Linked DNA regions of Mus musculus: all the other regions are reported to be linked to region 3. The links are microRNA targets in miRTarBase. Many come from high-throughput screens and were not tested one by one. Region 3 holds a microRNA gene; each other region holds the end of a gene's coding sequence.
The links. The annotated mature microRNA mmu-miR-1306-5p reads CACCACCUCCCCUGCAAACGUCC and lies in region 3 at 1,285-1,307, opposite strand. An mRNA with a match to its seed (bases 2 to 7 or 8) in the 3' UTR can be bound and repressed. Matches are read on the target gene's strand: a 7mer-m8 pairs with bases 2 to 8, a 7mer-A1 pairs with bases 2 to 7 and ends in A, and an 8mer does both.

Region 1 (4,103 bases), not on the chromosome of region 3:
CCATTGCTGTTTCCTTACGGGGTGTGATGGGACGAGGGCTGGGCAGCAGCAGCTCCTCCAAAGTTAAAAAGTGAGCCCCTAGACGAGAGCTCAATGCCAGCTTTACAGAAAGCAAGCTTGATGCCATTGAGAGTAGGCGGTGGAGCCTACTGGTTGCACAAAAGTCCCAAAGAAGTGTTCCACAGACAGTGAAGCTTACTGCATGAAGACCGATCCCAAAGGAAGTAGGCAATGGTCTGGGGACGTCACGCAGCCTCTCACACCGCACCCCCCCCCCTCCGTCTTGTCCCTGTAGACACGTTCGCCAGCAAGGTGGCCGCGCTGCAGGACCAGTGTGCCGACGCGTCCATCGGTAACGTGACCGGCTCCAATGCGGTGAACGTGTTCCTGGGCCTGGGTGTGGCCTGGTCGGTGGCAGCGGTATACTGGGCGGTGCAGGGTCGCCCCTTCGAGGTGCGTGCAGGCACGCTGGCCTTCTCGGTCACGCTGTTCACCGTCTTCGCCTTCGTGTGCATCGCAGTGCTGTTGTACCGGCGCCGGCCGCAGATTGGCGGCGAGCTGGGCGGCCCGCGGGGACCCAAGCTGGCCACCACCGCTCTCTTCCTGGGCCTCTGGTTCCTCTACATTCTCTTCTCCAGCCTGGAGGCTTACTGCCACATCCGGGGCTTCTAGGGCCCTAGCCACCGCCCTGAGGGTGGGGACTTGGTGGCATTTGCTCTTGGACCCACCAGTCTCTCTACCCAGACTCAGCCTGGGCGCTCCCTAGGCTCTTCCTCCTCAGCCTTCTTCCTGGGATCAGCCTCCCTTTCCCCCTGGAATCCCATCCTTTGCCCTCCCTTCTCAGCTGCATCCCCTTCAGCCCATCCTTTGTGAGGTAAACCCGAGTCCCCTGGCCAGACACTACTTCTCGGTCTTTCTGGGCACCGAGCCTGATTCTGTCTTCTCGTGTCCCTCCCTCAAGCCACGAACTTCCACCTGTGCGCCCAGGTCTTAGAACATCTCCCTAGGTACCTCAGAGGGAGGCTGTGCCATCCCAGGACGCCATCCATCTCTGCCCTTAACCACCCCAACCCTCAGGGAGCTCCCTTGCAGTCCCCAGGGAAAGGAATAGGGGTTTGTGCGGGGAGCAGGGAGAAAGGCACGCACCTTCCCTGATTTATCCACTCAGAGGCTTGGAGATGGAGGAGGGACGTTTGGAGTATCTGTCCCCCAGGCTTAGCCAGAGGAGGCACATCTTGAACCCACTACTTCTGACATTCCAGCGCCCTACTCACCCTCCACTACCTCTGAGAGCCTAGCCACGCCTTGGAGGGAGGAGCCTGTGTGTGTATATAGTGTGTTTGGGGAGGGGGGACACGGGAGGGTGCATGTCTTGGGGAAAGGGGCGTTGACAGACTTTCCCTTCTGAGAGGGCAGCAGGACTCACTCAGCCTGAGAACCAGCTTAGTGGATGAGACTGAGACTCAAAGGGAGCCCACCTGACCTCCCCTGACAGTATTCTAGAAGGGTTAACGAAAGTACTCTAGTCTAGAAGGTTTATTTTGCTCTCAGTGCCAGCCAATCTGGGCAGGACCCTCGAAGAGGAGACCGAGGGTCCCAGAGGACCAATGCTACAAGCCAGCAAATGCTGCCACATCTCTGCCTGTTGGGGGGCGGGGGTGGAGGGGAGGGTGGGAGGGGGGCTGGGTGGGCATTTTTAACTTTGCAGGCCATACATCTGTTGGTAGGCCACCTGCATTTTCTTACTGTTGATGTCTCCTGCCCCAAAAAAGACATCCTTGGGGAACGGGGAGTGCTGCCCACTCCTTGCGACCTTAGGTGACCCTGCCACCCTCACAGCCTTCTGCTTTCCCTAAGTTATTATTTTTGCATTTTCTTGTCCATTTGTGCATCAGACCCATTACCCACGGCCCTTCTCACCCCTTGCTCATCAGCATCACTTGATGTCCCTTCTCTGTGGTTTCTGTAAAAAACTGCCATAAAACTTTGAAATTCTGCCTGAACAGTCCTCCCGTGGGAAGTTGGGGTGCAGGAGGAAAGGGATGGTAGCAGCTCCGACATCTAGACCACAGGAAACAGACCCGGCAGCCTTTGCATTAGAGTTGGCCAGACAGCAGGACACCAGCATACGCTAACCACATTCAATGTTACCAGAGCCTCCACCAGCCACAACCATAACTAAAAGCCATAGGCTTCTGGTACCACGCCTTACCCATTAGCCAAGAGCATCTACTAGTTTCACCCCTGCCCATTAGCCATTGGTTTCTAGTACTGATGTTCCACCCATCAATCATGAGCCTCCACTAGCCACGCCCCTGCCAAGCAGCCATAGGTTTCTAGTACCATGCCCCACCCATCAACCAAGAACCTAGCCCTGGTTGCCACGCCCCTCACAGTCCTGAGCTTCTGCTGGCCACACCCCACTCACCAGCCACAAATGGTTCCTCTTCATAGGATATTGTGGGATTGCAAAAGAGAAGGACTCTAATTTGCCTGAGCCAGAGGGAGCTGAGGTTGATGAAGTTTCCTAAATAAAATAGGTCACTTTCTCAGAATCATGCATGGAACAGGAGGTGTGTGTGTGTGTGTGTGTGTGTGTGTGTGTGTGTGTGTGTGTGTGTGTGTGTGTGTGTGTGTGTTTTCATAAGGGTGGATTATTCTAGGGAATGAGTACAAAGTTAATGTGTACAGACGTGTGAGGCAGTGGCTTTTTCAGAGTGGGACAAAGGATGAGCAGAAACGAAAGACGCGCTTCCTGCATGGAGTGGGGAGCAGAGAGACCTTCAGAGGACCAAGTGTAAAAGCCGGTAATAGCCACACAAGGAGGCTTAAGATTTAAGAGCAAAGGGCTGCTTCAGAAGAAATTTAGAAGGAGCAGGCCAGCAGATGATGTCAGCTGATTTATATAATTTTTTTGTTTTGTGTGTATGTGTACTTTGATTGTGTACGTATGTTCATCATGTGCGTGTAGTGTCTGCGAAGGCCAGAAGGGGGCTTTGGATACCCAGAACAAGGCAATCGTGGGCCACGCAATGGATACTGGGAACTGTACCCTGCCGGGTCAATGTTCTTAATCTCCAAGCCGTCTGTCTCTCCAGCTCCTGATTTATAATTTTAAGCATTCCTCATAGACTCCTGTGATATCAGCGACTTCCTGTGATATCAGAGGTTGGAAATCAGGAACTCAGGCAGGAGAAGAGGAGTGGAGGCTGGACTGGGTGTTGGAAATCAGGTCACAGATCAAGCCAGTGAGAAGGCACAGGAAGACCTATCGGCTGGAAAGAGGTGGTGACTGAGGGGGAATTTAGGGAAAAGACCTTAAAGTGACTCGGGTAGGGACAGGGAAGGTGCCCATGCCACCACAGGGCTGGGTACAAAGGAAGCAGCTGCCCTCCCTGGACACAAGATGAGCAGAGGCTGCAGTGGCCCATCGAGCTGCTGTGCTGGGGGTAGCATGAGCAACACAGACACATGGAGTGCCTGAGAGCAGCACTAAAGGATGAGCGAGCACACTAATCTTACCCTCCAGGTCCCACCAGCTCCTGTAGCCACGGGCTCAAGCCAGCGCCTGTCAGTCTAGAATGAAGAGAGCAGGAGAGCACATGGTGGCGGGGGGGGGGGGGGCTGTCAAATGCAGAAGAAACAGGGGAGAGAAGTCTAGGGTGCTGTGGCCCTCAGAAAAGGAAACTGCAGGAGAGGGGGATCTGGGACTTGTCAGCAAGCCAGGACTGGCATAGGCTGCCCGGGGGAAGAACAGAAACAGTGCCTCGGGGTATCTCCAACATTTAAAGTGTGCATGGGTGAGAGAGATGAAGGCAAGGGAGACACCAGAAGAGCAGAGGGAAACCCAGGTGGCAGGCAAGTTTCCAAGATGGCATGCTCATGAGGAAAAATCTGGCGTGACGGATTGGGTGAAGGGCTCAGGGACACTCTAAGATGAAACCATTAGCACAGACCTGCAATCCCAGAACTCAGAAGGCAGAAGCAGGACTGAGTTTCAGGCCAGCCTGAGCTACAGAGTGAGTGAGACCTTACCTCAAAATCACAGTGGGCTGTGACTGCATCTCCTGTGGTAGAGGGCTGGGTTCATATGCATGAAGCCC
Region 2 (4,092 bases), not on the chromosome of region 3:
AGGTTTTTGCTTGTCAGCCTCTTTTAAGAAACTCCCGGATGGTGGAGGACGGTGGGGTCGATCTTAAAAGCGTTCTTTGTCTTGCGTTAACTTGTTTGAGAATCTTTGAAAAACTAAGCTTGGGTGTGCCTAGAAGAAGTTAACTGTGGGCTTGAAGTATAACTACTATCCTAAAGGCTAGGAGTCAGAACGTAGCTCTGAGGCTGCCAGGAGTTCATATTCTACGTCTCCTCAGGCAGAGTACTCTGTGTCCTGGCCTTGGCCTGCCTCTGGAACTCAGAGGCAAGGCATGGGCAACAGGAGTCCCTTCCAAGTCCAGGACTCTGCCTTTCTAAAGAGGATGGGCTAGCTCCATAGTGATGCTCTATCCTAAAGAGCTTAGTGATGCCCTAAATCACTTGGGTGATATCCACCAGTGTCTTCCATGTATACATCTCAGAAGTAGGACAATGGAGGCAGTCTCTCTACAGCAGCCGCTCTCAGCCTTCCCGATGCTCTGACCCTTTAATATGCAGCTCTTCACGTCGCGGTGACCCCAACCATAACATTTCCACTGCCACTGCATAACTGTGCTTTACCTATTGTTTTGAATCACAATGTAAGTATCTGATACGCGGGATATCTGATATGCAACCCTTTGTAAAAAGGGTCGTTCGACTCCCAAAGGGAATGTGACCCACGGGTTGAGAACTGCTCTACAGTTTCTAACCATACCATCTTTGCTTCCAGATGCAATCTACTCGAGACATTAAGAATTCACCTGAAGATCCCCTGGATAAAAGCGTTTCACTGTGTGACTTTAAAAAAAAACAAAAACAAAAAAACAAAAACAAAACCTTGCTTCATGCCCTGTGGGGGTGCCAGCCATTTCTGTTGATACTATGTATAATTTATTAATCTGGAGAATGTTAAAGAATTTATGTAATTTAAAGGTAACAGATATTATTGTACATACTTGTATTTTGTAGTTTCTCCTGTAAATATGTATTTTTCATAATGTTTAAAATTAAGCTTTATATATTTTCACACTAAAGTGTTCATGGCTTGTTGTACATAGACCCATACAGCCTGTATGACAGGGCCACGGGTGAAAAGTGTGTAGAGGAAGTCGCAAGGACAGTCCCCGGGGGTGTTTCTTACCTGTCCTTATAGTCACTGGGTAAGCGAACGTCAGAGCTGAAGAGAGCATACCATGAGGCTAGCTATGTTGAGCTGCTTTCTTATGAATGGACCCTGGGATCTAAGGAATATAATAGTCAAAAAAGATTAGGGCTGTGGCCAAACCTTTGTGGTAGGCCATATGCCAAGAAATTAAAAATAAATGAAGTGAATTAAAAGGAGGATTCGACAGCACCAAAGCTGAGCTTGCTGTTGTCTAAGCTAGAAGCTTTTTGTCTGACTCCTCCCAGGGTCCCAGGGTCCCTCCCAGGGTCAACTTGAAGCTTGCAGTGACCACGGGGTTAAGGGGTGCCATAGCGAGCAATACTAACAGGGATGAGGAACCTCCAGCACACAGCAGCGGGCCACCTGCAACAGTCCCAGCTGGTTCTCCTCTGGAAAGAGTTACAGTGGCAGGTGATGTTCCTGATCAGAGAAAGCATGGTATGCCAACATGTCCATAGAAATAGCTACATCATATATAATGAGTTAAAGAGTGGTGGTAAAACACACACACACACACACACACACACACACACACACACACACACACACACACACCAGCTCTCCTTAGTCTAAAAACCCTTCAAATGCTCTTTCTAAGTAAGTTGATGCAGTTAAAATGTTATCAAGTTCTCACCTGAAGCTCAGTTTACTGTAAGCAACGCCACACACCCTACCAATTTTATCATTAAGATTTATGCTTTATTTGACTATAAATAATCCCAAGTGACTCAGAGAGTGGACATTGGCCAGATCAAGGTCTGATTCGTAGATGTTTCCTGAGGAAGGTCTAGAGAGAGTCCTGTGGGTGCCTGAGTGTGACGTCACATTTTCTGACCTCAGAGCTTCATTTCCAGAAACAGCAGCTTCTCTCGAACATAGGCATCTTTGCCATGTATCATAAATTCCCACAATAAAATGGATATAATTGGCATAACAATTGAAAATAATTAACGATACCTATTGTATAGGTGTTTATCACTGTAACCTTAGTTTGTAAATATAATGTGATACAGATAATTACATAACTCCACACCCAGCCTGGAAATGTTTTTAGGGAGTGTTCGAAGTTTATAGAAACAGAGGAGCTGTGTCCTAAGGATCCCTGTGAACAACATTCAGAGTTCTCCCGATGTCCCTGTGCTCTGTGCCCCCATGACAATGATACTGAGCAGCTCTGGCCCTGCGGCCAGAAACATGGCGGATCTTGGGAACAGGAAAAAGAGGGGGAGAGGTGTAAGCATATAGCGGTAACTAGGGAGAAAATGGAGGCCAGGCATGGTTTGGGTGTGTTGTGTGTTAGGAATGGTTTTCTTAGAGGAAAAAGAAAAAAAGCTAGGTCGAGGGAGCAGCTCAGAGGTAGCAAGCTTGTGTGTGTATCTCTCCCTCCTCCCCTCTGAGAAGAGAAAAGAAAGGGGAGGGGGTAGAGTTGTAAAACGATGTTGCTTGGTGCAAAGCATGCTCATGACCTGGAAAAGGAAGTCCATTTTCATTTTAAGAAAAGTTCCAGCAAGGGCCTGGAACCTGTTGGGCCCTGTTCCGAAATCTGTTTCTCTGTGTCCTCAAGGAGAGAAGCAAGGTGCAGTGAAATTAATGTTGTTATTGTTTTCAATAGGAAGTGGAAGAGGGTCTGGGTGAGGGCAGGGGACCAGAGCGATGCCTTCCTTGAGGCACCTGCCAGCAAGGGCTGGAGCTGTTTCTATGGCAAGTCACTAGATGCAGAAGAGAAAGCAGTTCGTTGCACACGCAGGGACTACCACCACAAAGCCCCTGCAGGTCTGTAGCCGTAACTCACACACCTCTCAAAGCAGCTTGGGTGAAGTCAGAGGTACAGAAATGAGCACAGCCATGCAGCCCAGGGACACCATGCATTCTTGCTCTCTATTCCAGGGAATACTAATACCTCCTCTATACAAGTTTTAAAGCCCCCTTAGCAACAAATACTTCTGTGTAATTTCTCTCTTGAAAAGATCTAATACAAATCTAGTTGATCTACCCATCAAACTTAGCGGAGAGCTGGACTGAAAATGTAACTACCGATAGGATGCTTGCCAGGCACATGGGAGGCCCTGGGTTTAGTCTCAGGTACCACAAAATAAGTAAGGAGAAAAAGAAAGAAAGGTTTCTTTGGCCCTTCCTTCTGTTGGGTGCATCTCCCCTTAATTGCTTCACATGGCTGTGCCTCGGTAAACACTCCACTTACTACCGTGTCGGACATCCTGTCTGCACCTGAGAGCAGCTCTGTACTCAACTAAAGCTGTCAAGTACTTCAAGGCTCTCAGACTTTGAGAGAGTCTGTTTTGCATCTTAATAATTATTTACCCAGGTTCCTTATAATTAACTCCTCTAGTCTTTCAGATTAAATCAATTTCACATTGCAAGTCTGCGTTACTCTGGAAAGCTGCCAACTTTCCCACTCTTGAATCAGATTGTTCAAAGATGCATCTATCTCCCTGTCTGGGCTTGCAAACGTTCATCTTGAGGAACTTCCACCCTTTAGTGCCCGGCCTTCCACCCTCCCCTTGCTTGCTGCTGCTTCCTGGTGAATGGCTCACTGTGCTGGGCGAATGTGCCTTTATCTTCTATTCATCTCATCTTCCACACACTGCTAGCATCTCATAACCTCAACACCATACAGGAGTGATTAAGACTTTAATTTTTCAACATTGAAACGGCAACAACATAGCAATCTGGGGTCAGTTATATTTAGGAGGCTCTGTAATTAATTTTGTTATTACCTCTTGGAGGAAAGCCCAAAATGATATGAGAAAATACTGTGAAACGTTTTAACAGATGTCCAGCAATACAAAAATAGGGCACTCATGATCCACTGCACAGTGCTTCTCTTAGCTCCGTGTTAAGGCTCTAACTCCTTATATTAAACACTTTCTGATCCCCTCACAAAAAGAAGGAAGGAAGAAAGAGAGAGAG
Region 3 (4,000 bases):
ATACTTAAACCTGTCTCTACTCAGATTGATGTCTAGCACCAAAGAACTCCCAAAATATTCTTGGGAAGGAAAGAGTTCTGGGGCCATGAAGCACTCAGGATTTGTGATGGACTCACTCACTTTTGAGCACTGTTTTAATCTTGGTCATCATTGGCTGTACACTTGTCTCTCCATCAGATGGATGATCACTGTCTCCGCCATATTTTTCCTCCATTCGCCTCTTCTTGGGAGCACAGAGACCTTCTTCTAGTAAAGCGTCCACATCATTGTCAAAGTCATCCTGCAAAATAAAGTGTTCAGACCCTACACCCCTCCATGCTTTTGCACCAAGGACAAGTTTCACATGTATGAGGGAACACACAGAGGAGCCCCTCAATGGGGACTGAGCATGCCCTGATGGCATTTGATCATCTGAAAAACAAACAGGTTGAAATGACAAGTGAAATCAACATGCCTACTCCAGGAGCACACCCAGCCAAAGAGGCTTTTCAGCAGCATCTGCTGACTTGGGTTGGAAAGAGACAAGGCTCAATGTTAGCCAAACTTTCTACTGAGGATCTTTCCCTTCTCCATTAATATTTAACCTCACACAGGGTTTTTGCTTTGATTTCCCTGCTTTTAAAAATAAAGCCACTTCCAAACCTCTCTTTGGGTTTTGCTCAGAGCCCTCCAGGGAACTGGTCACCAACATACCTCATAGGAGAAATTCAAGGCCTCTTCATCCACTCTGTCTCTTTGAACGATTGCTTTAGCCGTGAACCCGCCTGTTCCTTCTTCATCTAGCTCCAAATTGTCAGTAAAATCTTCTAACTCATCGAGCACTGCATACTCCACTCTCTTTTCCTGATCCAGCTCATTTTCCTCATCCTTCTTATCTGCACTCTCACCCCCTAGGCCTACCCCATTACCAACACTCCCGCCAAAGGGACAAGCATGCACGTCCCCACTGACAGGACTAAGGAGCTGGCCACACTCAGGCCGAGTGCTGCGTTCTACTCCTGTGTACAGCACCTTCCTGTCCTTACTCCTGCAGCTCTCAGTAAAGCTCACGCTAATCTTTACATCCTTAAGCAACTTAAGGTCAGGGGAGAACTTCCGGACCGCAGGTGCGTGCCGGGCAGTGCGCGGGCTGTGGCCACTACAGTTCGGGTCTATGAGGAGGCGGCCCTTAGAGAAGGATCCTTTGGAGAGAAGAGAAGCTCCGTAGAAGTTGAATGGGTCGTCGGCAGGAGGTTCGGACTGTCCATCACCACCAGAGCCAACGTCCATTACCTCTGCATCACTGGACGTTTGCAGGGGAGGTGGTGGAGACTGTTCATGGGGCAGCACTTGGAAGGGGCAAGCTCGGTTCTCCATCATCGCTTCTCCTGCGGGCTCACGCGGGAGAGGAGAGGGACTCTCATATGTCTCCATATTATGAGCAGTTAAGACTACTTTAAAAGACCAGAGTTTTAAACCACCTTACATAAATCTATACTGCTAACATGCACAAGTCCGTCGAGACCCGGTGTCGTCCTGCCCGCGCTGTACACACTGGCGGCTTAGTCAAGCTGGCCACATTGCTCTTTTCATTAATGTAGACAGCTTTTAGAACCACTGCCTCAATTATTGGAAATCACAATGCACTCAGCTTAAAAGATTGACGTCTAAGTGAGTCTATCTTCATGCCAAAGTGGCACCTTTCTTCTTCCACCTGCAAAAAAATTTAAAAATATCATCACAAATGACAGAAACCTTTTACTTCTCTGGTACAAAGTTAAAAGTCAAATGTTATCAATGGTGTAGTAAAGGACCAAGATAACACTGCCTTTAAGGAAGCCTTTTAGACATCAGAAAAAAATAACTTTAAATTTTAAGTCCTAAATTAAGTATTTTATCAACTATTCATTTTAATCTTTATTTCAGAAGCACAAAAAATACAGTCTTAGAGCTCAAAAAAGACTAAGACTTTAAAAAAAAAAAAAAAAAAAGCTAAATTTTCCCACAGCACTCCCATAACCTGGTCTAGTGGATAAGCAAGCATGCATCACCATTTCAGGAACAGACGTAGAGTGCATGGCCTCCTTCAGGCCATAAGAGGGACATCAATCCACTCACCTGCAAGGGCTGGGTCAGTCAGAGGGCGAGTGAGACCCTCAGCTCAACTCTGTGGCACTAGAGACCTCAGAGATATAGCCAGGCACTCTGCTACCCAGGGACCCCCTCTCCTGGGCCCACAACGTGGCACGTGGACAGGACAGTGATGCAGCGTGCTGAGGTCACCAGGAGTGGCAGCATAGATCCATTCCCAGTAGAGGAAGGGTGTCTGTTGGGAAGGGAGCCTGCTAGTATTGGGGAAGGGGTAGGTGGGACAACATAGGAGAAAGGTAGAGCCAAGGTAGAAAGGGTTCTGGGTGCCATTTGGAGCCTGGCTCCAGGCTAAGAATAGTGAGCTATCAATAGGGAAGTGACTCTCCTTATAAAGAAGACTCACAGCTATACCAGGTATAGGACTGCACCAGATGTTGGGACAATTCTCCAAAACAAAGATGTGGAAGCAGCTCTGGAGACAAAAAGAAAGTGTCACGGAATGGTCTATGCTTGCAGACCCTATGGGGGTGGAAAGCAGAAAAAAAAGGTGAAGAGAAAGCTTCTCTGCAGACACACTCTAGCACCCTGGGGAGAAGAAGAGAAGGAGCTGTAGGTAGCCCTGTCTCACAGTGCTCAGGCAGGCCATAACTCTGGAGCCCTGAAGAGGTCTAGGGGAGGAGACCACATGGAAGTAAAGCAGCAAAACCACCAGAGGGAAAGAGCAGAGAGGGAAGGATGTAATGCTAGGAAGCTCTGCTACAGAGGATGCTTGCAAAGAGGGATGACACACAGGGCAGGCAGATCAGCAGAAGGCTGGCCACAAAACCAAAAGATCCACAGAAAAAAATGTTATTGGCAGAAACACATGCACACGAACACACACATGCACACTCCCACATCATGCACAGAAACATGCACATGCCATGCACACAGTTACAGGTGCAGATATACATACATACATACAACCATGCCCATGGGTGACAGCTTGGTTACCCCTACAATAACTCATATTGGACTCCAGAAAGGACAAGAGGACAGAAAACATCAACTATATAAGCAGCTTACAATAAAAGGGTTGAGTGGGGTGGTTATGCCTTGCTGAAGGTACATAAAAGCCAGAGGCTTGTTTAGGTTAAATTAAACCATTTAAAAACTCACTTACAGTCTACTCTGAGAGGTGCTACCAAAAACAAGAGATAATTAACCCCAAGGCCTAGATACAGCCGGAAGTCTATACTATGACTTTATGTCTTATAACTGGCAGTGGCCTAACAGTTTTTAATTCAATGGAAATTTAACAAAACACCTCTCCAAAGGTGTTCCCATCAAAGGTGCTTATGAATGACTGAGAAGAGAGCAATAACTAAGAAGCCAGGAGGGAGATCAAAGTTTCCTGGCAACCAAGGACCACTGCAGAGGACAAAATCATCAGCATGCTTAATCCTAACAGACCTCAAATAAGATCAGGACAGTGCCTGTTAGGTGTACAGAGATCACAGCAAGTCAAATCTGTGGTATCTGAGGTAGGATATGCTAATGGTAAGAACACTCAAGTAGGCAGGGATTGGAGACAAGAGTGGTAGAGGATAGGGAAGCATACTGTATGTTAAAAGCAGTGGGCCAGTGAGGAACTACAGATGAAGGCAATAAGTGAAGACATTAATAAGTGTTAAAGCAGGAAAAGCTTTAAAGAAATATATATCATAGGTGGGGACCCTGAGGCCCTGGAAAAGGAAAGTACACATCTTGCAGAAGCAGGCAAATTGTCCAGCTCTGGAACTCAGCAGCAGGCTAAGGTAAGTTTCTTACCTTCCCTCTGAAAGCTTACTCAATTCATTAATCAACTATTTGCTGAATGCCCCATAAGGCATACACACCATGTATATGTGTTAAGCACAAAGCAGATAAAACATTTGCCCCACAGAGCAAT
Region 4 (4,086 bases), not on the chromosome of region 3:
TTGCAGGCCCCAGAAGGATGTTAATATTCCCCACATCCTCAGGCCCTTGGAACAGCTTTCCTCCATAGCTCTGGTCCTTAGAGGGCAGTGTTCTACTTCCCTCAACCCCAAGGACTAGTCTAAACAGTGCTCTGGAGCAGAGGCTGGACCCCATTGAAGCTATAACTGCTTTCTCCTCTCCCCTCTCTGTCAAGAGCAAAGAAATCCGCTAACACCAAACACCAGCCTCTCCATCCAGTCACAAATAGCTGAGGATTTTCAGGGACCCAACAACGGGAAGCTCTTGGTTAGTGATCAGAAACAGAGATGTTGATGTCCATATCCTATCCTTCCCCAAAGGCTAACACCAGCTCCCCGCCCTAACTGTCCTACGTCAACTGCCAGGAGGTCAGTTAGAGCCTCACCTGAGTTCTTGGCCGAAACATCCATTTTCTTTGTCCCTAACTCTTCTAAGCCTTCAAGACCACATTTTGGTTCCCATTGCTCCCTCTCTTCTTTCCCCGCGATACCCTGGGGCTCCTGCAGACTGCAGACCTCAGCCTGCCAGCCTGAAACTCCACACTGCACCGCTGGGCAGCAGCTGGTTGGCTGGAGAGTGGCAAGAACACTGGTAGACGACTCCTCAGAGGGAACTCATGCCCTTCCTCTCTGTCATTAGCCCACCTCTATCTAACACAGCCTGGCCTGCTCGGTCCCTTGTACACACACAGTTCTCTCCAAAGGATCAGAGCTACCGCAGACACCAAGAAGTCAATTCTATCCTGTCTGCCAAAGCACAAGGGACCCCCTGGGCAGCAAGTGTTCTTAGGAAAACAGGCTCTCCAAGCACACACATGGCTGCCCTCCTCAATCCCTAGCGTTTCCTCTTCACACACATACCCACTATCTTCTTTCTTCTCTACATTTTGTTCTTGCTCCCTGTGAATTACCCCTCCATTTCCCACCTCCCAGGTTTCTTCATCTGCTGCCCATCCATGGAAAACCCATTCTAGTTCTTCACTTCTCCATCGTTGTGTGTGCCTCTCCAGATCTCTCTCTCTCTCTCTCTCTCTCTCTCTCTCTCTCTCTCTCTCTCTCTCTCTCTCTCTCTCTCCATTCTCTCCATTCCTCCCTTTCCATGCCTGTCGCCTGTCTCCTGCCTCATCTTTACTTCGCCGGCTTTGCTCCTGCCCGCTTCTCAGTCAGTCACCCACTCCTGCCCCTCTCGCCACTACCTGGACCCTCCCCTCTGGTTTGAAGCTGAGGATCTGACTTCCTGCTCCCTTCTCCTTCTGACAAGGCTCCCCCACCCTCCCTGTCCATTCCCAGTCTCCTGGCTACCTGCTGAAGATGACTCCAGCACTCTGGCTCCAGGGAGGGACCAGGTTGGGACAAGAGCTGGGGAAGACAAGGGCAGTGGCCAAAGCTCAGGAGGAGGTGTCTACCCTGGAGGAGAGAGGAGAAAATGTGGAGATGGGATCTGGAACGTTCCAAGTGTCAGGAATTCTGCCAGGAACCAGCATCAGATTCCAGGTAGGGTCCTGCTGGGGCAGCCTTGGGTCATGGGCCTGGCTCAGGAATCCTAACTCAGCTCCAAGTCCTCTGAAAATGAACACAAGGACAGCAAACTCATAGACTAGCCGTTCTTCCTCTCTGGCTGAGGCCAATGTAACACAGGGAAGTGAGACGCCTCCTGGACAGCCTATAGGAGGCACACATTCCTCGACACAAGGACCAGGCAGCAGGCCGTGTCCTCGGAGACATTATGTTTGATGACGTTCGTCTGCCACCCCTCCACTGGAAACTGGAGGCTTTTCTATGATTAGATGGCTCTGCCACCAGATCCATAAGGTAGCCAAAGATGGTCAAAAACTACAACAAAATAAAAAACAAAACAACAACAACAACAACAACAAAAAACCACCTGGAATCTCCCTCGTTTTTCTCTCTGCTAAGGGGGAGGGAGGGGCCCCCCACTGCAGGAGAAGAGAGATCTTCTCATCTGCCCTTTCCTAACACACGCACACACACACACACACACACACACACACACACGCACACACAAACACACACATACATACATACATGCACACACATACACACGCACACACACACACACACACACATACACACATACACACACGCACACACACACAAACACACACATACACACATACACGCACACACATACTCACGCATACACACGCATACACACACATACACACACATACACGCACACACTCATGCACACACACCTACCTCAGCTCCAAGCACTGCCCATGAGGTTGCAGACCCTGGGCTTATCGCAAGGCGAGAAGTGGGCAAAGAGGAGAAAGAGGCAGGGACAGGGTAACAGGGCCTGGGGTGGGGACAAGGGTACCCTGTTCAGAGGTGACCTGCAAGTTCAAGTTAGGCAGAAAAGTATCAAAGACGCAAGACAGTCTCTGCCCTTGGCAGATGTCCAGGGTGTAGGAAGCATGAGAAGGAGAGGGGTAACCCCTAAGTCCCCACCTCTGTGCCCCCTCTCCACAGCCACCAACCCTGACAATGGGCCTGAGAAGTCTATGCTGTACAAAACAGGCCAGGCTCGAGGGGCCAGTCACCAGTGAGATATCCCAGTAGGGAAGAGGCCAGGCCAGCCTCAGGCTGGAACTAGCTTCCTCCTCCCACAGCCTCCAGAGCCCGTGTCTCCCCCTCAGACTCTGAGGTGATGAAGGACTACCAGCAGCAGGAAGGAAGACCCTATCCTTTCCCCCTCAGCACGGCTCAGATTCTTTTGAGAGCTGGGTGCAGGCTTGAATGAGGGAGGCAGAGGAGGCCCCGTTGGGGGGCTGGTGGCACCTGGAGCTTTGTGGCAGATGTGGTGGGACCATCATCAGCGAATAAAAATAAAGTAGGAAAGAGTCTGGCCCTCCTGGGGCAGTGTGTTGAGTAAGTCTCTTTAGGCGATCAGGACCGGCAGGCAAGGACGCAGCAGGCAGCCCTGCACACTGAAGGGGTCCAAGGAGATTGCGCGGCAGAGCGTCCTTTCCCTGGGGATCCCCAGGGACCTCCAGCTAGTCTACACAGGAGAGAAGGAAACCGAGGGACCAAAGAGGGAGGCCCAGGCTCCACTAGGTCCAATGGAGGCGGGGCCAGACTCAGGATCTCAAGGGCTCTGCCTTCTTGCCAGGCTGCCACCTAGCCCCTGCCTCTCTTCAGAGCCCGGAGGAGGTCCGTGTGCAGCCAGTTCAAGATTTGGGTCTGGAGCTTGAACGCAGGAATGAGAGGGCAGCAGACGGGATATGCTGAGGTCAGGCCAACTCCTGGGCTATAAAATCCCGGCTTTCAGGGTCCCTGTGTGTGAGCAACAGGGCATGGTAGGACTCCCCAGCCAGACACATCACCTCCTGGCCGCAGCACGGAACTTACTGTAGTGCCCACGAAATCTGTGGGAGGAAGGGAGGGGAGGGGAGAAAGAGAGAGGGGGAAGGGGAGGGAGAGGAAGAGGGAGAATGTTAGAGCCTGTGAGGTCCCAGCTGCCCCCTCAGCCACTCCCCAAGACACAAATGGCCAGAAGTGACTAGAACCAAGTCCTTGAATGACAGGTCAGCCTTAAGCACACCATGTAACCCATTAGCTGTCATGTGTGAAATAAAGACCCTCTCCCACTCCACAGGGCCATTCTGAAAGGTCATAGCAAATGCCTTTGACTTGGAACTGGCCTACAGTGTCCACCTCCATGAAGCAGTTAAGGATGCAGATGGGTGGAGCTCCCCACATCACTGGTGTGGGGAGTTTTATTGGGCAGGAAGGGGTTGTTTTTAACTCTCTTGTATCCTAGGCTGGCTTTGAATTTACAAGGTAGCAGAGGCTAGCCTTGATCTGATTCTCCTGCCTATGCCTTCAGAGTACGAAGCTTACAGGTATACACTACCATGACTGGCCTCCCATATCATTTTAACAATGAGCTGTAGCTGGGAAAGTTGGCTCCCATCTTAATCTTAACTCTTAACAGGAGGCTGAGTGAAGCATAAGGCTTGCCACAGGTATGGGGGCAACCTGGGCTACACAGTAAGTTCCAGTGTATCCTAGTCTACAAAGCAGAGCCATGTCTTTCAAGTAAAT
Region 5 (4,103 bases), not on the chromosome of region 3:
AGCCCTTTTAAAATGTCCCTCCTCGGCCCCCGCCACAGTTGCCTCTCCCGATTGGCCGTGAGCAACCGCAGCGAACCGGGCGCGCAGGGGCTTCTGGGGAGTGTAGTTTTCCCCTGCTCTGAGCCTGACAACCTCAGACTGCAGAGAGTTGCACCCACGCAGACCTGGTCTTAGTTCCTACCGCTAAAGCAGCAGGCGTTTGCAGTCCTGAGAATGTATGCAAATGCATGTGCGGATATACGTGTAGGCCTGAGTCTTAGGACAAGGAACCCCTACAAACGCGGACACGACCCGGGATCAGACAAGCAAGGACTCCAGGCAGAGTGGGGTTAATTCGGATGGCCTTCAGCAAGGAGTCGCACTGCGGGATTTTCCTACCGTTTCTTCTATCAAAATCCTGGCTCCAGCCATTCTGCCACTCTCTGAAACAAGCCATGCTCACGCTGCTGTGACCCTTTAACATTCTGCTCATTTTTATCATGGCCTGAGGCGATTCTTTTTATAGGTTCCGCATACGCGTTCATCCGTTCCATCAGCCTACTTCCACAAAAATCCGCTTCCGGATTTTGTACCACGCAGCACTCTCTTGCCTCCTTGCATGTAACTCAGGCTAGCCTGGAACTATGTAGCACAGGCTGGCCTCAAACTTGTGATCCTTCTTCCTCTGCCTCCCAAGTCCCAGGATTACAGGTGCCAGCCAGCAGACAAACCATGAGCTTAAATATCTTTCCTACTGTATGGTGGGGGAGGGGGATGGATAAATCTTCAGTGCAGATATAGGAAGGTTGACACTAGGTACTCAAATGCTTTGGGTGACTTAAATATCCAGAGCTTAAGCATCCTGAGACCCTACTTCTTTTGATCTAAGGAGGTTTGGTCCAAGCCTAATTACTGAGGACCAGCAACAGGGGTGCACCAGGAGCTGTAGAGAATACCAAGGTAATAAACACCTCACCCCCACCCCCTGCAGAATGGCACCAAATGGCAACTGCAGCCCCAGCTAAGTGGTGTGGTTATAAGCCACACTGGGCATGGAGAATGGGGAGTTGATGGTTTCACCCAGGACATAACTCCTTGACTCTAGGGGAGCCTCTGTCTCATGGTGGGATTCAGAGCTAACTTGGGGTTGCCCTCTTGTCCTTCTGGACACAGCATGAGCCATTGGTGGCCCAAGGGCTCATTCACTCACTGATAGCTGACCCACATGGAATAGAACTCACAAATGACCCAAAGAACAGTTCTTATTTTTGGTTTGTATCCTACCTTTCCTTACTGAACTCAGTGGCTTCAGGACAGAAATCACAAAACTTGCCCTCTTTATCCACTCCCCCCACCCCGCCAGGCCCAACACTCAGTAAATATGCCTGTGATCAGTGCCCGTGAGCACAGGCATCCTAGGCACACGGGCCATGAGGCAGTGTTGCCTGTGATTTCAGAGCGGTAGCTCTGTCACCTGAGAACCACACTGCCCTCTCCCACAGGCGGTCTCCTTTGTCCGCTCATTTCAAAACAAACACACAAGCTGGCTGCGGTACGTGATCTTTTTATTCTTCATAAAGTGCTCAAAACATGAAGAACAAGCTCTTTATAGACAGGAGTTTCAACTAGGAGGACAAAGGGCAGAGCAGAGCTGTGCCTGCTTGCTGCCTGTCTGGCTGCACTCTGCAGTATGTGGTAAGGATCAGACAATGAACAAAACCCTGGCCTCAGTTCAGGACCTCTCTGCAGGACACCCCTGCCCTGGCCATGTAGAGAAGCCAAACAGCAAGGATGGATGAAAGATGAGAGAAGGGCTGGGACTAATTAAAGCCCAGAGGAAGACCTAGAAGAGGGACTCAGTTCCTCAAAAGACACCTCCAACACCCAAGGACTGACCCTACCCCCAAACTCTGGGAACTGGTGGCTATTTTCTCATCTCTGAGTTGACCTATAGTTGGTAACTGCACAGTGGTGGACCCCATTGTGGTTCATCTGCTCTATGCTGGCAGAAGACTGACGTCATCCACAGAGAATATTCTCCTGAGGTGTTCTGAGTGAACCCATGACCCTGTCTTTAAGAGACAGCTGGAAAGACGTTACTGCTTCTCCACTGGGCCCAAAGAATCTTTTGTCAGCATCTCACCTCCTTCACTCATACCTTTTGTAATGCACAGCCACCAAGGACCCCCGAGGATGCCAGGGAGACTGGCAGTATTCACAAGCAAGCTAGAAGCTGGACCACAGAGCAGATACCTGACTTCACTTGAATGCACTTCAGCCAAGCCAGGCAAGACAGGAGGGATTGGTGAGCAGGAGGGACTGTACAACAAGGACAGAACAGCTGGAGAGCCACGGGCATTTTCCTAAGCTCAGGTGTCTCCTAAAGCAGAATGAAGCCTCCTGCTTCCAGACAAACCCACTGGTCCAGCATAACTGGGACCCAAGGTCAGACACAGTAAGGTGCAGGATAGCCCCAGACCTACTGTGCACTAGATTTTTTTACCAGGATGCTCCAAATAAGGGTCAAGGGAGGACCAGGAAGTGGGAAGGCGGCTTAGGACACCTCCAAAGCAGGTTGGCCAGAGCCTTAGCTGAGGTACTTCTCGGGGTAGTAAACAGCGTGGTCCACAGCCCCCTTTCAGGACCCTCACAGCCGTTTTCACGTGCTCAACAGGAGGGAGGGGACACCATGGCCAGAGAGACATCTACATCCAGAGGCTCTTGTCCTCACCCACAAAAGGCACGTTTAATTGGTTTCCAAATGTTCTGAGCCCACAGCAGCACAGTTTTGGCATCTGACGAGTGTTAACAGACATGAATGGAGGCCTGGTCCACAAAACATGAGCAGCCCCAAACCCCAACCTGGAGGGTTTCATGTTAGGGAGGTAGGGAGGACTGCAGGAGAAAGAAGTCATTCCCTCTGTGCCCACCCCACCTCCCACCACTACTGGGACATGGAGTGGGAGGGTCTGAAGAGGGGCAGGGGGCAGCTGAGGAATAGGCACATACCACCACCACCACCACCACCACCCCCCACCACCACCACCACCCTGTGTACATGCTCTAGACAGAGAGACAAGACGAAAACACACAGGCTCCTTGCTCTTAGGGTATAGGCACAAGGCTGAAGTGTAGGTGCCCTGGTTGTCTACAGTGCACAGAAAAGCAAGCAGCTTAGTTCCCATCCCTGTCCCAGTGGCCTAGGAGACCCTCCAGGTGCCAGAAGGCAATGGAGATGAAGAGTTGGTCAAGAGGAGAAACAAATGACCAGCCTCATGGGGTGAGCTGTGCTGTCAACAGTGTTGCCTTAGATAATTCAGCTCACCCCAGAACCCAGAGCTCACTCCTGCTCCATCTTGACAGCTAACAACCTTGTTGCAATTCTCTGGGGAGCCCCATAACCTCGCGTGTGAGAATGGTCAGGTAGGGAAGACCCAAGGCTCCAGTGGGAGTTCAAAGAGCCCCTTCCAGCAGCCAGAGCAGAGGCAGGATGGGGAGGGGTGCAGAGAGTCACCATGAGAGCAGGCTTGCCCTACTCAGGTGAGAGCAGTCAGTGGCGGGCACTACACAGGTCCTCACCATCCCTCCAGGGATGGCGTGAAGGGCTACTTGGGGGGGCCAGGGGAGATTTGCAGCAGTGTGGGCGAGGTCTCCATGATCCGCACCAGCAGCCGGTCAATGTAGCTCTCCAGTTCTTGCACATGCTCGTCTCTCTGGCTCAGCTCACGCTCACGCTGCAGGAGCAGGCCAATGAGCTCATCATGAGTCAGGTGATAGTACTTGGCCGACTGGTCCAGCACAGCAGAATCCTATAGCAAAATAGAATGCAACTAAGCAGGGGAGGGCTAGACCTTCCCCCAGCTAGCCCACCCAAACCTGTTTCCCTACTGTAGAACCCCAGACCTGGCAGCAGCCCATCTCTATGGCTGAAGATGTCCTCTCCACTTAAGAGCTGTGGCACGGGGAATTACCAGTTACCTGCTCTGCCCCCAGCATCACTTGGCCTCTGTTCATCTTACGGCCTGTTCTCTCAGTTGCCCCCTAACACCTTGCTGCACCTCACCTTTGGCCTCTTGGTGTCCACACTTGAGCCAAGCTGGGACGCTGGAAGCACAGACTGGATG
Region 6 (4,098 bases), not on the chromosome of region 3:
TGTGCACATGGATATGCTGTGCAGGTCAACACAGGTATATTCTTCAATACTTTCTTGACTTTTTTGTTTGTCTTGTCTTGTTTTGTTTTTGAGACAGGGTTTCAGTGTATCCCTGGCCGTCCTGGAACTCACCCTGTAGACCAGAGAGGTCTCAAATTCACAGAGATCGACTCTGCCTTCCAAGTGCTGGCTGGGATTAAAGGCGTGTACCACCGCCTCCTGGAAACATCATTTTATTTATATTTGTGTGTTTATGTTCACACGTCCAATGGCACAGATATGAAGGTCAGAGGACCAGGAGTTGATTCTGCCCTCTTCAAACTCAAGTTGTCTGTCCACCTTGGCAGCAGAACCTGTTACTTTTTTTCTCTTTTTGGCCAGCACCACATTTAATCAATTTATGTGTTTTTCTTGCATGTGTGTGCCTGGTGCCCTTGGAGGTCAGAAGAGGGTGTTGGGCCGGGCGTGGTGGCACACACCTTTAATCCCAGCACTTGGGAGGCAGAGGCAGGCGGATTTCTGAGTTCGAGGCCTACCTCTACCTCCCAAGTGCTGGGATTTTTTTGGTCTACAAAGTGAGTTCCAGGACAGCCAGGGCTACAGAGAAACCCTGTCTCAAAAGAAGAGTGTTGGATCCCCTGGAACTGGACTTATAGAAGGTTGTAAGCTGCCATGTGGGTGCTGGGAATAGAACCTGGGTCCTCTACAAAAACACGAGTGCTCTGAACCACTGCCCCATCTCTCTAGCTCCCCTTTTTTTTTTTTTTTTTTTTTTGGACAAGAGTCTCTTGCTGAATCTAGAAGTTGCTGCTTTGGCAAGACTGGCAGGCCAGTGAGTCAGTTATAGGTACCTGCTGCCACACCAAGGACCTGAACACAGGTCCTTGTATAGTAGGCACTTAGCCCAGTGGGCCATCTCCCAAATCTACTTTGGTTTTGAAGGTAGGGTCTTCCTACAAAGCCCAGGCTGACTTAGAACTAGAAGGAATCCTCCTGCCTCTGCTTTCTAAATGCTGTGGTACATGACAGGCATGCATGTTTAGAATTTTTAAGTTTTTGGTGTGGTGGTGGTTTGAATGAGAAATGTCCCTAGAGGCTCAGGTGTTTGGACACATGGCCCCTGGCTGGTGGCACTGCTTGGGGAGGTTACAGGCCCTTGAGGAGGCAGAGCCTTATGGGGAGAAGTTTATCACTAAGGAAAGGACTCAAGGCTTCTCAACCTGCCCCCTCCCTCCTGTTCTCTGTGCTTCCTGTGAGCGGCTGAAGATGTGATCTCTTCACATCTTCTTCTGAAGATGTGTACTCTTCCTGCCATGCCTCCCCTTCCACGGCGGAGTCTTCTAGAACCTTAAACCAAAATAAACCCTTTCCTTCCCCCGGTGGCTTCTGGTCACGGTGTCATCACAGCAACAAGCCACACATACAGATGTGGCCCACGTGATTCTTCTTTGGCTGCCTCCTCTTCTGCTACGTGCCGCGCATCCCTGTCCAATCCACCTGCATGAAGCTTTCCTTGTTTTTCTATAAAATAGAAGAGGTGGGGTTGGGGGGGCCTTGGAGGGGTAGCATGTTTTTAATCCCAGCACTTGGGAGGCAGAGGTAGCCAGATCCCTGAGTTCAAAGCCAGCCTGGTCTAAGAGCAGATTCCAGGGCAGCCAGAGCTTCACCCAGTCTCAAAAAAAAAAAAAAAAGGTACATTTCCCTCACTCCCACACAACTCACACACTTCAGACACCAGATGTGTGTGGAGGTTTTCCCACACATACATCAAGAAATTCCCTTGGCCAATAAAGATGGGTGTCCTATAATTTAACCCGATCCTGACACTATCTGGAGTTAGCCTCAGATCCTACAGATAATGAGCTTGGGTCTACAGGATGCACCCAACTTCTGCTGCTTCGGGGCCGGTCTTGAGTTTCAGGTAATAAACCGTCTATCTGGCCAGTGGACTTAGTTAACTTGCTAGGATGATTCCTATAACTCAAACACTCAGATACCTTTATCAACTTACTATGCACACTCACTAACTTACGATGGTCTCACTTATATTTTAAAGATACTGTGCCTTGCCTGCAGGAATGTCTGTGTATCACATGTGTGTCTGATGCTAGTGGAAGCCAGAAGAGGGTCTCAGGTGCTTAGAACTCGAGAACTTGAGTTACAGATGGTTTGGGATTTGCCGTGTGGGTGCTGGGAAGTGAATCCTGGTTCTCTAGGTGAATAGTCAGTGCTGTTAATGAAGACAGCTCTCCAACACTGACGTACACTGGGGCATGCGTGTGTGTGTGTGTGTGTGTGTGTGTTGATGGTAATAAAAACTACAGCCTCAAGCATGCAAGGCACATACTTTACCACCAGGCCACACTCCAGCTCTTTAACAGTGGCCTCTAGGCAAGCACCGCGCTGATGAGCCATACCCACAGCCCTTTGCTGCGAATTCTAGGTAAGAGCTTCATTGCTGAGTCAGGCAGGGCCTCGGGCATCCCAGGCGGGCCTCAGTCTCCTCACATGTTGGTGGGATTACAGGTCTGCACCTCCATTGCTCGTCAGTACATTTTAAATTTTATTGATTATTATTATTATTACCACCTTGGTGTCTTAAGACGGCAGGAATTTATTTGCTCACAATTCTGGAGGTCAGAGTTCTGACATCACTAATCTCACAGAAACCAGGTTGACAGCAGGGCCCCATGACTTCTGCAGCTCTCAGAGGGGGGGTGGCAGTGGGGAGAAGCTTTCCTGGAGTAGCCCAGCATCTCCCGTCTCTCTTGTTCCCATCCGTTCGTTCTCCTTGTCTCCCGCATGGCGTGGGTGCTCCTGGAGTCACAGACACAGTCCCCGGGGCACTGTCCCTCATTTTATCATCTTCAATGATGGCTGAACGAGCTGGGTGGTGGGGGCACACACCTTTAATCCCTGATGTCTGAGTTCGAGGCCAGCCAGGTCTACACAGCAAGTTCCAGGACAGCCAGGGCTACACCGAGGAGCCCTGTCTTGAAAAACCAAAACAACAAAAATAATAATAATAGCTGCACAAACACTTTTGCCAAATACGGTCACAGAGATTAGGGCAGTGATATGTTTTCAAGGCACATAGGTGTTCCTAAACACCTACTATGTTTCAGTGCCACAGTGTCCTCATGGTCTTGGCCTCAAGTACTTTTTCCACCTCATTCTGCTGTATAGCTGGAGGCGTAAGCTCATGATGGTCCCTGTACCTCTGCCACCCTCCTAACTACATGAGCTGCAGAAGAATCCAGAATAAGCTCCCATCTCAGGTCCAGACATGCTGTCATTTTTGTAACGATCACTTGACCAAGTTAAGTGTCACAGTCACAGATAGGATCAGGATGAAGACACCTTTGGGGACGGTGCCTTTATTCTACCTGCCCCAAAGAGATTCAGGCGAGAGGGTTGTAGTTGTAGTACTGTCTGGGTGTGGGTTTTGTTTGCTGGGGAGCGCCTCGTTGAGGTAACATCTGGACAGACCCGAAGGAGGTGAATTGAGGAGGAGGAAGTAAGACATTGCAGGAGGCACGTCTCCTTTCCTGCCCTGCCCTCCATGCTGACCCAGATGCCTCCAGAATCTTGCTTAGCAGAGGAGTGGGTCAAAAGGTTCGGAAGTGACTGGGGTTTGAGAACTCCAGTTTTCATGGGTCCCCTATTGCCCATGGCTCCTCAAAAGGCTGGTTGGCCTGTGGGGAGAAATGGGAGGCTGTGTCAAAGGGGCATCAGAGACCACCGCCCCTTCCACCTGCATCTGCATAGCATAGGTGGTTACCTGGGCTGTGGGCTGGGCTTGCTGGTGCAGTGTCCGTCTTCGATGCCACTGGCGCAGGGAGGCCCGGGCCTCGGAGCTGAGCCCCTGGGGTGCACGGCCAGTGTCTGGCTGGTAGTGAGCAATGTGGTAGAGAGCCCCAAACCACGTGGTCAGATAATACCCAGCTGGGGGAGAGAAAATGAGGTCATCATAGCCCTACTGGGCTTCTCTGAGTGCCCACTCTTTTTTTTTTTTTTTTTTTTTTTGGTTTTTCGAGACAGGGTTTCTCTGTATAGCCCTGGCTGTCCTGGAGCTCACTTTGTAGACCAGGCTGGCCT

Region 1: the mRNA of Slc8a2 is a reported target of mmu-miR-1306-5p. The part of its 3' UTR that is shown has no 7-base or 8-base seed match.
Region 2: the mRNA of Ptprb is a reported target of mmu-miR-1306-5p. Seed matches in the 3' UTR shown: 7mer-A1 at 1,657-1,663.
Region 4: miRTarBase lists Lhfpl4 as a target of mmu-miR-1306-5p. Seed matches in the 3' UTR shown: 7mer-m8 at 1,899-1,905.
Region 5: miRTarBase lists Rab11fip5 as a target of mmu-miR-1306-5p. Seed matches in the 3' UTR shown: 7mer-A1 at 2,986-2,992.
Region 6: the mRNA of Rinl is a reported target of mmu-miR-1306-5p. Seed matches in the 3' UTR shown: 8mer at 2,584-2,591.

Annotation. Positions count from the first base shown.
Region 1 is chr7:16,158,509-16,162,611 of GRCm38, forward strand. Slc8a2 (solute carrier family 8 (sodium/calcium exchanger), member 2) reads left to right here. Exons shown (of 10, transcript NM_148946.3): 10 at 296-2,003. The coding sequence ends at 672. Among named protein-coding and RNA genes, the nearest start is that of Meis3, 15 kb to the right of the region's middle.
Region 2 is chr10:116,383,124-116,387,215 of GRCm38, forward strand. Ptprb (protein tyrosine phosphatase, receptor type, B) reads left to right here. Exons shown (of 32, transcript NM_029928.2): 32 at 730-4,092. The coding sequence ends at 752. Among named protein-coding and RNA genes, the nearest start is that of Kcnmb4os1, 33 kb to the right of the region's middle.
Region 3 is chr16:18,283,004-18,287,003 of GRCm38, forward strand. Mir1306 (microRNA 1306) reads right to left here and starts at 1,314; the gene lies at 1,236-1,314. It overlaps Dgcr8 (DGCR8, microprocessor complex subunit), which reads right to left. Exons shown (of 14, transcript NM_033324.2): 2 at 694-1,693; 3 at 121-280. The coding sequence starts at 1,413. Gm24572 (predicted gene, 24572) reads right to left here and starts at 1,634; the gene lies at 1,547-1,634.
Region 4 is chr6:113,168,552-113,172,637 of GRCm38, forward strand. It overlaps Lhfpl4 (lipoma HMGIC fusion partner-like protein 4), which reads right to left. Exons shown (of 4, transcript NM_177763.3): 4 at 1-3,407. The coding sequence ends at 3,307. Among named protein-coding and RNA genes, the nearest start is that of Lhfpl4, 25 kb to the right of the region's middle.
Region 5 is chr6:85,333,439-85,337,541 of GRCm38, forward strand. It overlaps Rab11fip5 (RAB11 family interacting protein 5 (class I)), which reads right to left. Exons shown (of 6, transcript NM_001003955.2): 5 at 4,043-4,103; 6 at 1,524-3,788. The coding sequence ends at 3,585. Mir705 (microRNA 705) reads right to left here and starts at 2,935; the gene lies at 2,854-2,935. It also overlaps a transcript of Sfxn5 not described here.
Region 6 is chr7:28,797,407-28,801,504 of GRCm38, reverse strand. Rinl (Ras and Rab interactor-like) reads right to left here. Exons shown (of 12, transcript NM_177158.5): 11 at 3,782-3,945; 12 at 2,540-3,695. The coding sequence ends at 3,651. Among named protein-coding and RNA genes, the nearest start is that of n-TKctt24, 5.4 kb to the right of the region's middle.